Linked DNA regions of Oryctolagus cuniculus. The protein of the gene in region 3 purifies or fractionates together with the protein of the main gene of each other region. This does not show direct contact. Links are inferred from orthologs where the notes say so. Each region holds a gene or a part of one and is shown on either strand. Other genes may lie near its edges.

What was found.
Region 1: the proteins of RHOD (region 3) and PLXNB2 purify together in Homo sapiens (affinity purification with mass spectrometry; 3 studies listed by BioGRID and IntAct, counting the BioPlex papers as one, with this or other methods). This does not show direct contact. The link is inferred for Oryctolagus cuniculus from reciprocal best matches to the Homo sapiens genes RHOD and PLXNB2.
Region 2: the proteins of RHOD (region 3) and DIAPH2 purify together in Homo sapiens (co-immunoprecipitation; 3 studies listed by BioGRID and IntAct, with this or other methods). This does not show direct contact. The link is inferred for Oryctolagus cuniculus from reciprocal best matches to the Homo sapiens genes RHOD and DIAPH2.

Annotation. Positions count from the first base shown.
Region 1 is NC_091442.1:123,237,070-123,240,717, forward strand, and holds part of PLXNB2 (plexin-B2), read right to left. Parts: intron 1,588-3,648; 5' UTR 1,575-1,587; coding exon 495-1,574; intron 1-494.
Region 2 is NC_091453.1:95,819,726-95,823,373, forward strand, and holds part of DIAPH2 (protein diaphanous homolog 2), read right to left. Parts: intron 2,820-3,648; coding exon 2,683-2,819; intron 374-2,682; coding exon 265-373; intron 1-264. UniProt on the Homo sapiens protein: Could be involved in oogenesis. Involved in the regulation of endosome dynamics.
Region 3 is NC_091432.1:4,925,690-4,929,337, forward strand, and holds part of RHOD (rho-related GTP-binding protein RhoD), read right to left. Parts: intron 2,360-3,648; coding exon 2,272-2,359; intron 1,090-2,271; coding exon 980-1,089; intron 1-979. UniProt on the Homo sapiens protein: Involved in endosome dynamics. May coordinate membrane transport with the function of the cytoskeleton. Involved in the internalization and trafficking of activated tyrosine kinase receptors such as PDGFRB.

The DNA.
Region 1 (3,648 bases), on a different chromosome or scaffold from region 3:
GTGCCCCCATGCCCAGCACAGGGCACACACACACACACACACACACACAGCTGTGCCCCCATGCCCAGCACAGGGCACACACACACACACACACACACACAGCTGTGCCCCCTGCCCAGCACAGGGCACACACACACACACACACACACACAGCTGTGCCCCCATGCCCAGCACAGGGCACACACACACACACACACACACAGCTGTGCCCCCTGCCCAGCACAGGGCACACACACGCACACACACACGCACACAGCTGTGCCCCCATGCCCAGCACAGGGCACACACACACACACACACACACACAGCTGTGCCCCCCTGCCCAGCACAGGGCACACACACACACACAGCTGTGCCCCCATGCCCAGCACAGGGCACACACACACACACACACACACACAGCTGTGCCCCCCTGCCCAGCACAGGGCACACACACACACTCACACACACACAGCTGTGCCCCCATGCCCAGCACAGGGCACACACCCACGTACCAGCCCGTGGTTGCCGCACTGGATCTCGCCATGGAAGGGCTTGTAGAACAGGTCGCTGCGGCCCGCCTCCCGTGTGCCCGCGTAGCAGGCCTTGCGGGTGGCCTCCATCTTGGTGTGGACCTCATCCAGTGGGAAGAGGCAGAGGCCTGCCCCGGGCCCTCCGTGGCCACCTCGGCCATCCCGACTGAAGACAGCGTACAGCACCCTGCCAGCACCCGGCGTGGCCACGGAGGCCGCCAGACAGGTGCCAAAGGCGGGGGCCTGGGGGTCGCTGGGGTCGTGGCACTGCAGGTCCACCTCCAGGTAGGAGTAGTAGAACGGGTCCTGTCTGCACATGCGTGCCAGCAGCGTGCGGTTGTGGGCTGGGTGCTTGTCCTGCTGGTTGAAGACGAAGAAGACGTAGGGGCCGTCCTCGAAGGCCGCCACGAACTGCTGTGTGCTGGTGGACAGGTAGCCGGCCTTGTAGGTGGTGTGGTCCGTGTAGGCCTCGAAGGCCTCCCTGCCCTCGGCCCGGTCCAGCAGGCGGGTGCTCACGATGATGCCATTGTCGTGCGGCCCGTTGCCTTTGCCCACAAACAGCACGCGCTCCCCGCCGGGGCCCGTGGCGCTAACCAGCCCCACGGTGGCCACGCCCTCGTCATTGCTGGCCACAAAGGACTTCTCGCCGCTGCTGTCTTCATAGAAGAGGCGCGTGGAGATGTTGCTGAGGGCCCGCAGGGCACAGATGCCCTTGAAGAGGCTGCCACACTCCACCAGGCGCCTGCCAGGAGGGTCGAGCAGCAGCAGCTGGTTCACGTTGTCGGTCAGCACGGCCTCATGGCACTGGCTCGCCTCGATGGGCGGCGTGCACTTCTTGTTGTCCAGGGCCGGGCCTGTGTTTGCCTTCTGCTCCAGCTGCAGGTCGGCACTCAGCTGGTAGAGCGCGTTCACGGCCCCCACGTACACCACGCCGGAAGCCTGGTCCACGGCCAGGTGGTTCAGCTCTGTGTCACTGTGGAAGAAGTCCAGTCTGCCAGGCCGCAGGCTTGACCCCATGCCCGCCAGGCCCAGGAGGGTCAGGGCCCAGAGCTGCAGTGCCATTGCCCCCGACAGCCTGTGGGAAAAAAGCAGGGGTCAAGGGAGCCCTAGCCCAAAGGGTGCCTGTGAACACAGGCCAGCGGGCCGTGATCCCAGACTGAGCCGGGGAACCCAGCACCCTTCACACACACACACACACCCCTGTTCCACCTCAGAGCTCCAGGAAACCCACTTCCTAGCCCTTCACCGCGCAGTCTACCTGGTGACCAGGGTGGAGCCACCGCTACTCCACGCCCTGGGAAGCCGAGGCCTCTTCTCCACCTCCAGGTCCAAGGCAACAGGCCAGGGCGGAGCCCAGCTCCCCACCCTGTGACTCTCCAAGAAGCTCCAGGCTGTCGGTCGGGGGGCCTTTGGCCCCAGACAACTTGCCCCCATGCACAGGCCCAGGCCGACGGACAAGCCCTGGGGGCACGAGCAGGTGAGCTGTACACCTGTCCTGTACTGACCCCGAGCACAGGCTGGTCCTCGAGGCCTGCTGTGACCAGCTCAGCCAACACACAGGCACTTTCCCCTGTTCCCAGAGTCACCTGCCCCAGCCCCGCCCCACCTGCAGAGCTCTCCCCGGAGGCCTCCCGGACCCCCTTCCAGACCCCTGTTCCCATGGCAGAACCAGCGGGGGAGAAAGTAAGTCTTCTCAACCCCTCCTCGCCCTGCCTCACCCCCCTCCCGGCGCCATGGGCAGAGCCTCAGATGTGGGGGCACAGAGACAGGATCCCAGGAGGGACTTCCAGGGAGCTTTGAACAGCTCCAAACCCAGCAGACGTGGAGGGAGAGCCCTCATGCATGCCCTGGAGTTCAGACCACGAATGGGACGAGTGGGCTAGTGGGCTGCAGGATCTGCCATTCCCTTCCCACTTGCCTCAGGGAATCCAAGAGCAGCTGGCAGGGAGAGCCATTCTGTGCTGGCAGGGAGAGCCCTTCTGTCTCCCTCTGGGGACCCCAGCCCCCAGACCCTCTCTCGTTATCACAGCCTCCCCCCGCTCCTGGATCACCGTCCCAGGATCTAGGCGTCGGCTGCTCCAGACCAGGACGCAGAAACCCCGTGCAGGCTTTGAGTGAAGCTGTGTTCACTGCAACAGGCTGCCTGCTCCTCGCAGACCCTGTCACTCCTCCCAGTCGCTCCTTTATTGCTCAGGCACCCAAGTCGCCCTACAGGCTGTGGCTGTCCCCTCCCGCACGCTGCACCCAGCTCTGAGCTCAGAGGAAAGGTGCCCAACAAAGCCTTCTCGGCGGGGGGAGGCCGAGCTGGTCTGCCACCCTGCTCCCCGCAGACAACCCCTCCAGGTGACCTGGCCTCTGCACAGAACCTGCACCGGGGCTCAGTCCTCACACAAACCCTGGGGACACAGGGTCCAGGAGCCCACCCACAGGTGGGGTGGGGGAGGAGGAAGATGGGGAGACGCGAGAACAGCAAGACTCTCTTGGGGTATCCATGGGTACAGGCCCTCCTGCTACCCCCCCACAAAGGCCCCACTTTCCCCACACCCCCCCGCAGTCCACCCAGCAGTATCAGTCCCCACCAAGCCTGTCCTTCCAGCCTTCCCCACTCACCCACGCCCCGCCCAGCGGGCCGCGCCAGCCACAGTGAGCCCGGAATGAATGGAATGTCCTGGGGCCCAGGGAGGGGGGGAGGAGGAGGAGTGCGTGGGCGGGGCTGCAGCTGGGGCCGCCCAACAGGCGCCCAGGCCCCTGGGCGGGTCTCTACCACAGGGCTAGGCCTGGAGCCCAGGCCAGACAGACAGGGGGACCCTGTGGGCCCCCTTCAGACAATGCTCTCACCCCTGGCAGAAAGATCCAGGCGGCTCCCCCTGCGCCTCTCCTGACTGATGTCAACAGACACCCCTGGGGCAGGCACACCCTGGGTGCTCAGTAAATATCATGTGTGACTAGATCCTGCCACTGACAGCAGCACTGGCCAGACACCCCCACACTGCCCAGGGCTGGCAGAGGGACCCCAGGGGTGGCAGGAGGGAGGGCCTGTGTGTCCACAGGAGGCTCCCGTCTACTTCCTGGACAAATAGGCCTCAGGTGACCTGCCTGCCAGCCTAGGAGCAAAGGGCGATCCACCTGCCGACTA
Region 2 (3,648 bases), on a different chromosome or scaffold from region 3:
AAGGCTTCGATTTTCCTGATTTATTATATTAATTACTGAATTTATACTCAGATATAAATGATAGTCATAACTGTTATATTTAAAATAATTCAGAAGTATTTTCCCAAATTTAAAACAAATTATTATTGTCACAAACAAAACAACAGGAAGAATGTTTTTTTACATTCCATTCTATTTAAATGCCAGCTAAAATGGAGTTGGTGTTTTACAAAATGAGTACTCTAAATATACATCTAGAAACAATGTAAGATAAAACTAATTCACCTGTAATTGCAAGGCTTCATGATTTTCTAATCCTTCAACAATTGGTGAAAATCGTTCCCTGTTATTTCTTTCTGCTGCTGTAGTTATAGCCCCTAAAAGTTTATCTAAACTGTAGAGGGGGAAAAAAAGAAAAGAAAAAAAATGAGAACTGCATCCTATACACACATTATGCTCATGAGTTATTCCTATAGATCTTACCTGTTTTTCTTTATGATGCTTGATTCTTACACAAACCACCACGATTTTTAAAATTCTTTCTTTTGAATTGACAAAAGTGTACATATTTATGGTTCCAATATAATGTTCTGAAATGTGTATACATTGTGGAATGGCTAATTGAAGCTAATTAATATATTAATTACCTCACACACTTACCTTTCTTTTGTAGTTGAAGCACTTAATATCTACTCTTAGCTATCTTCAAGTATACACTACATTGTTACTAATTATAGTCACCACAGGGTACATGAGATCTCTCAAATTTATTCCTTCTGTCTAACCAAACCATCATTGCAATATAAGAATCATGTTGCCATCCACTATTTTTTTTTTAATTTTCGAACTTTAATCTTTAATTACTTTTTAACGGATTCAATGTGCTTTGTAGATACAATTCTAAGAACATAATGACATTCCTTCCTGCTTCACTCCCTCCCTCCTTCCCTTTTTCTCCCTCCCACCCTCCTTGCTTCTCCCTTTCTTTCTTTTTTATTAGTTTTTAAGTATGAAATGTACATCGCAGCAAAGGCTTAACACCTCCCCAAATAAGTAGTTTAACAAGTAAAAAGCAAAATGACCCTAGTTTAGTGGGAATATAGGCAACAGTTATTAACAATAATTGAATGGCCATCCATATATTTCTACAAGTTAAATATTGATAGCTTAAAAAATACTGAAAGCAATCATTCTACATGATATTTTAAAAAGAATATTTCAGAAAAAATGAATATGTCATTGAGACACACTGAAACTGAAATGTTGAGGTTTGATATTTCATGTGTTAATATATATTAAAATCAATTAAATATAGCATTTACAATTATTTTGTATTATTTTAAAAGTATACACAGACTTAATAATAAAGTGTAAACAGACTATAATATCATAATAAAGTACTGGAAAGAGTGAATATTTTAAAAAGAACTTAAAAAACAACAGTCTTTGATAATGGAACAGAAAAAACATAATCTAAAAGAAAAATCCAGAAAACTAAAGAAGTAACAATAATTATTTAGCATAGGAATCTTATTTACCAAAAAATAAGATCTGGTAACTATCTCCATCCAATGTCAAAATCAATTAACCTCTAAATAGTAGGCTATTACTTTCAAATGATATGTAAGCTATAATTAAAATATAACAAATATAACAGTCTAGGTTGTATTTATAAATTAAGAATTGACAACATAATTAAGAAAATATTTCTGACTCATATATAAACCGACTATTCTCTAAAACCTAAGGAAACTCAACAATTGCACACATTATATGTCAACTGGTTCTCATTGAGATAAGATTTAATGCTAGATTATATCTTTGTTTAATGTTTGTGTTTTGGTTTTCAAGGACATTAACTAGCTCTAAGAAAATATTCATTTTATTCTAACAGTGATAATAAAGTTTACATGTTAAAATATCATTAGATCTTCACATGGCCCTGTTCTGACTCAAATTTAAATTATTACTGTCATACAAAGTGTTCAGAAGACATATTCTAGTTCATGTTCTTAGCAGACATTCCATTGTTCATCACAACATTTTGACAAACTGGACTTACTAATGACAGCAAAGCTTAAATGTTCTTCTGATTCAATATTCTTTCCATAAGAACATATGATCTAATGAATCTTCATCAACAACTTGCTGAATTTGGTACATATATGCACACTGAATAATTATCAACAACCCTTTGGTCTTTCTTTTTAGCAAGTTATTTCACTCTACAAATGATTACTTCATCCTTTCATTTACCACATGGAATGTAAAATGTGAAGCAATAGCCCAAAATAAAAACATCTAATCTATTCAATTAGTTAAAGAATTAAATTAATTAAAAAACTCAGAATAGGGTGAATTTCATGAGTGACTGTATGAGTGTATGAGTGTGTGTGTGTGTGTGTGTGTGAAAGTAATTTTTGTATCTACTTTTCTAATAACTGCTTTAGCCTCAGCAAGATAAAATTCTATTCTTCTTGAATTCAATTTTGAACAATTTCCCATTAGAACTCTATCAGTTTAAACCTAGTTTTCATAATATCAACAAAATGCTAAAATATAGACAAGATAAAAAATCAATCAAATTTTTCAAAAATCTAATACTCTTCATGCAGTTTATCGAAAGAAAGACAACAAAAGTACTTACTGACTTTTGAAATGTCATTTTACTTGCAGTCAATAAAACAATATAGCTATACTTACATGTTCTCTTCTCCAACAATGCAAATAGCAGAAAGTATTTTTACTATTTCAGTCATCATGTTAGGTTGTTTGGGGTCAATTGCTCGTGCCAATAGTAAAAGACTTCTTTCATCTCCTAGAATCCTTTGCAAACCAAACTAAAGAGGGAAAAAAGAGCCTTTATTCAAAATCAACATGTCTGTGGAACATAGGTTTAATGGCAAAACAAAAAAGCTTACAATGAATTTCCAAAAACCCAGACGTTCACAGAGATTCTACCTAATTATGTTAATGTTTTTAAGTGCAGTTATTTGTCTTTATTTTTTATTTGAATGACTATATCTCAGAAATTTTGTTTCTTAATTAAATATACCTCCCATAAACATCTGGAAGAAATTTGGGAACAATAAGCAGTTATTTAACAAAGAGCAACATATAAAACACATAATGATATTTTCTAAAGTAATTCTATGTATGTCACTGAGTCTCCCTGGAGATGTCTGGAATTCATCTGTCCAATATGTTTATGTGGAAAGTTGTAGTGATTAAAAAGCCAAAAATGTCTTGTATACTACATGCCAGTTAAAGAAGCAATCAAATCCCCATGCTTTCTCACTCTTATTCTTCCCCTTTTAGGCAATCATATGTCAATACAAAAGCTGTGAACTCAAAGAACTGGCACCTGAGTTCTATTAAGTGTCACCTCCACTAACCAGATGGAAAAGACACCTTTGTCATTTGTTTTCTAGACATGAATACGTGGATGTGCAAATTATAATAGATAGTAAAGATGTAAAAGGAGGCCTAAAACTTGGGTTTTCATTACATAAAGAAGAGAAATATATCAGCAATCCAAACATCACAGCAATATTATAACAGCAGATTAAGAACAATGGGTTGGGCCAGCACCATGGCTCACTTGGTTAATCCTCTGCCTGTGGCGCCGGCATTCCATATGGGTGCCAGGTTCTAGTCCTGGTTGCTCCT
Region 3 (3,648 bases):
CTGGGCGGGTCTGAGCTCCTGACACCCGCTTCCTGCTAACGCAGACCCTGGAAGGCAGCAGGCGATGCCTCAAGTGCGTAGGTCCCTGCCATCCGCGTGGGAGACCTGGATGGAGTTCCTGGCTCCTGGCTTCCGCCTGACTCAGCCCCAGGCAACCGGGGGCATTTGGCCCAGTAGATGGGGGCTCTCTATCTGCCCCTCTCGCTCTTTCTGCATCTCAAATAAACAAACAGGGATATACGCTGCAACACAGCTCTGAATGAGTGTGTGGGGCAGCCAGTCTGGGTTCAAGACCCAGTGTCGCTGCCCTCACCGATGTGCGTCTTTGGACGAGGGGCTCAATCCAGAGAGCGTGCGGACACGTGCCCATCGGGTGCTTAGGTGACTGACGTGAGCAAGAGGAGGCAGCATTCCAACAGTGTGCAGAATGCACCTTGTGAAGAAAACCACGTGGATTTCTATCGTCCTGCCCCCAGGCCAGGCTGTCCTAATTCCGTCTTCCCCGTGGGCTTTCTGCAGGACGCCTGGAGGTGGAAGTGGGCCCTGGCGGCCGCGGGGCATGGGCTGTGCCATGAGTGGAGGGAACTGGGACAGCTCAGAGTTGGCATCCTTGACGCCTGTCCCAGCCTTAGGACCCCAACATGACCGGGGGCACCCTGGGAGGCTGTGAGAGTCGGCACTGATCCCGGCAGGGGGCCGAGAGCAGCTGGGAGCCGACTTCCTGGTGTGTGGGAGCCAGGGGTGGGGGGCAGGGAGGCACAGGCTGGGGGGGGTGCTGCAGCCTTGGGCTCACCTGCTATCCCAGGGAGAGTCCCAGTGGAAGTGGAGTCTTCAGGGGCCGGGGGAGGGGCAGGCAGGGAGCACCCAGTGCCTTTGTGACCCCAGGCAAGGTGCTGCCAGCCCCCGGGCCTCAGTTTCCCCCGACAGTTGGCTCAGGGCTGGCTGTGGGGGTCACACTGCCTGATCCCACAGTACCTACCCGGTTAAAGACGTTGTCAAAGCTGCTGGGGCTGGTGACGTCAAAGCAGAGGAGCAGCACGCTGGCGTCGGGGTAGAACAGGGGCCGCAGGCGGTCATAGTCGTCTTGCCCTGGGCAGAGACGGGGGGCCTTACTGCCTGCAGATGTCCCCAGTATCAGATGGGGTCTCCAGAGGCAGGACACAAATCCTGCCTTAGGGGCTGGCCCCTCAGCACCACGCTGGCTGGGCTGGGAAGACGGCTTGCCAAGGACCCTGGTCTGGAAGGCATAGCAGGCAAGGCAGCAGCCAGGCCTGGAGGAACTGAGGCCCATTGCCCCGGGGCCTGCTGGGACCCCCTGAGATGAGCTTGCCCTTGTGTGGGCAAGGTCAGGAGGCCAGAGGTCAGACAGACCTTAGCGACGCTGAGGCTGGGGTCGGGTGCTTGGGAGGCCAGGGTAACTTGGCTTTTGACAGCAAAGAGTTCTGCCCCCCCCCCGCCCCCAAATCCTGGACACAGTGGGCTGCCCTGGGAGCGGGGAGGCAGGTGGGCTCAGGGCCAGGGACCCCTGGTTCTGGCCAACACCTGTCCCTGGCCAGCCCCCCAGCTCAGACGTAGGGGGTAGGGCTCCAACCTGAGTATGTGGGGCTCCACAGGGCCCTTCCAGCCCACCTGTCCCCACACCCCACTCCAACCCACCCGTCCCCACGCCCCGCTCCAGCCCATGCTTCAGCCCACCCACCCCCGCTCCAGCCCACCTGTCCCTGCGCACCACTCCAGCCCACCTGTCCCCGCGCCCCACACCAGCCCACCTGTCCCCGCGCCCCGCTCCAACCCACCCGTCCCCGCACCCCGCTCCAGCCCACCTGTCCCTGTGTGCCCCACTCCAGCCCACCCGTCCCTGTGCGCCCCACTCCAGCCCACGCTCCAGCCCACCTGTCCCTGAGCCCCGCTCCAGCCCACCCGTCCCCGCTCCAGCCCACCCGTCCCCACGCCCCGCTCCAACCCATCCGCCCCAGTGCCCTGCTCCAGCCCACTCGTCCCCGTGCCCCGCTCCAGCCCACCCCTCCCTGCGCGCCCCGCTCTAGCCCACACTTCAGTCCACCCACCCCGCGCCCCCCTCCAGCCCACCCGTCCCCGCCCCCACTCCAGCCACCTGTCCCCACCCCCACTCCAGCCCACCCACCCGTCTCCGCTCCAGCCCACCCATCCCTGCGCCTGGCTCCAGCCCCCGCTCCAGCCCACCCGTCCCTGTGCGCCCCACTCCAGCCCACCAGCCCTCGCTCCAGCCCACCGTCCCTGCCCCGCACCCACCTGCGGTGTCCCAGATCTGGAGGTGCACAGGTTTGCCTTTCACCTGCAGGTTCACGGTGTACCGCTCAAACACAGTGGGGCTGTAGCTCTGGGGAGGAAGGGGGGTGGCTTCAGGAAGCCGGCAGCCCAGCCCAGCCCAGCCCAGAGGGGCCTGGCACAGAACCAAGCCCCCAGAGCTGCCAGCTCCTGTCCCTGGCCCCTGGATTCCCAGTTCTGAGTCCTTGTGCACGCTGTCCCCGCTCCCGGAATCACGTTAGTCTACGTGGCTTGTTCCCTCCTTCAGTCACTTGCGCAGGCCCAATGCAGATATGGGAGAGCAAGGGTTAAACGAGCCTCAGGCCCTGCCCCAGGTGCTCATGGCTCTCTGTGCACCCCTCCACCTCCGCCTCTGATCCCGTCCCACGCCACCTCCCCTGGGTGCCTGGCTTGATCTGCCACACTGCCTCTCGTTTCGGCTTCTTACTGGCCCTGTGTGGCCTGGGGTGGGGTGCCCTGGGCAGGGCCGGAGACACTCAGCCCCGCGTGGCCTGAGCCCACTCCTCTGCATGGGCACTGGGTGAGCAGGCCCCCGGACAGCTTAGTTTAAAGATTTTTATTTATTTGTTGAAAGGCAGAGTTACAGAGACTGACAGTGAGAGAGAGAGAGAGAGAGTGAGAGAGAAAGAGAGAGAGGTCTTCTTTCCACTGGTTCACTCCCCAAATGGCTGCACCAGCTAGGGCTAAGCCAGGTGGAAGCCAGGAGCCAGGAGCTTCTTCCAGCCCTTCTCCCACGTGGGTGCAGGGGCCCAAGGACTTGGGCCATCTTCCACTGCTTTCCCAGGTGCACTAGCAGGGAGCTGGATCAGAAGTGGAGCAGCCGGGACTTGAACAGGTGCGCACATAGGATACGGTGGAAGAAGCATCGCAGGTGGTAGTTTAACCACTGCGCCATGGCCCTAACAGCTTTTGCACACAGACGGAAATCCAGGAATGGAGAGTGGATTTCCGCAAGACGGGGTCTGGGCAGTGGGCAAGGAGGCTTTCAAAGCTCTGTCCCCAGCCACGCCCTGCGCCTCGAGGGGCTAGAGGTTCTGCCTGCATCTCTGGTCCCCAGGCTCAGCCCGTGCCTGTGGCTGAGTGCTGGGACCACAGTCCTCTCCCCTCCCATGGCAGGCGGGGCCAGTGCCTACCTGTGACTCAGGAGGACTGCACGCCGGCCGGCTGGACCGCTGAGTCAGACTCCGCCTGGGAGGGGCAGCACCTTAGCGCCAGCCCAGTGCCAGCCCCCGGGGCCCCTGGGAAGCCGTGCGGCTGGGCTGCGAGGGAGGCGGATCCTGGGGTGGGCAGCTGGGGAAGATGGAAGTGGCCTTCCCCGGGCTCCAGCCTACCCTGTCCCTC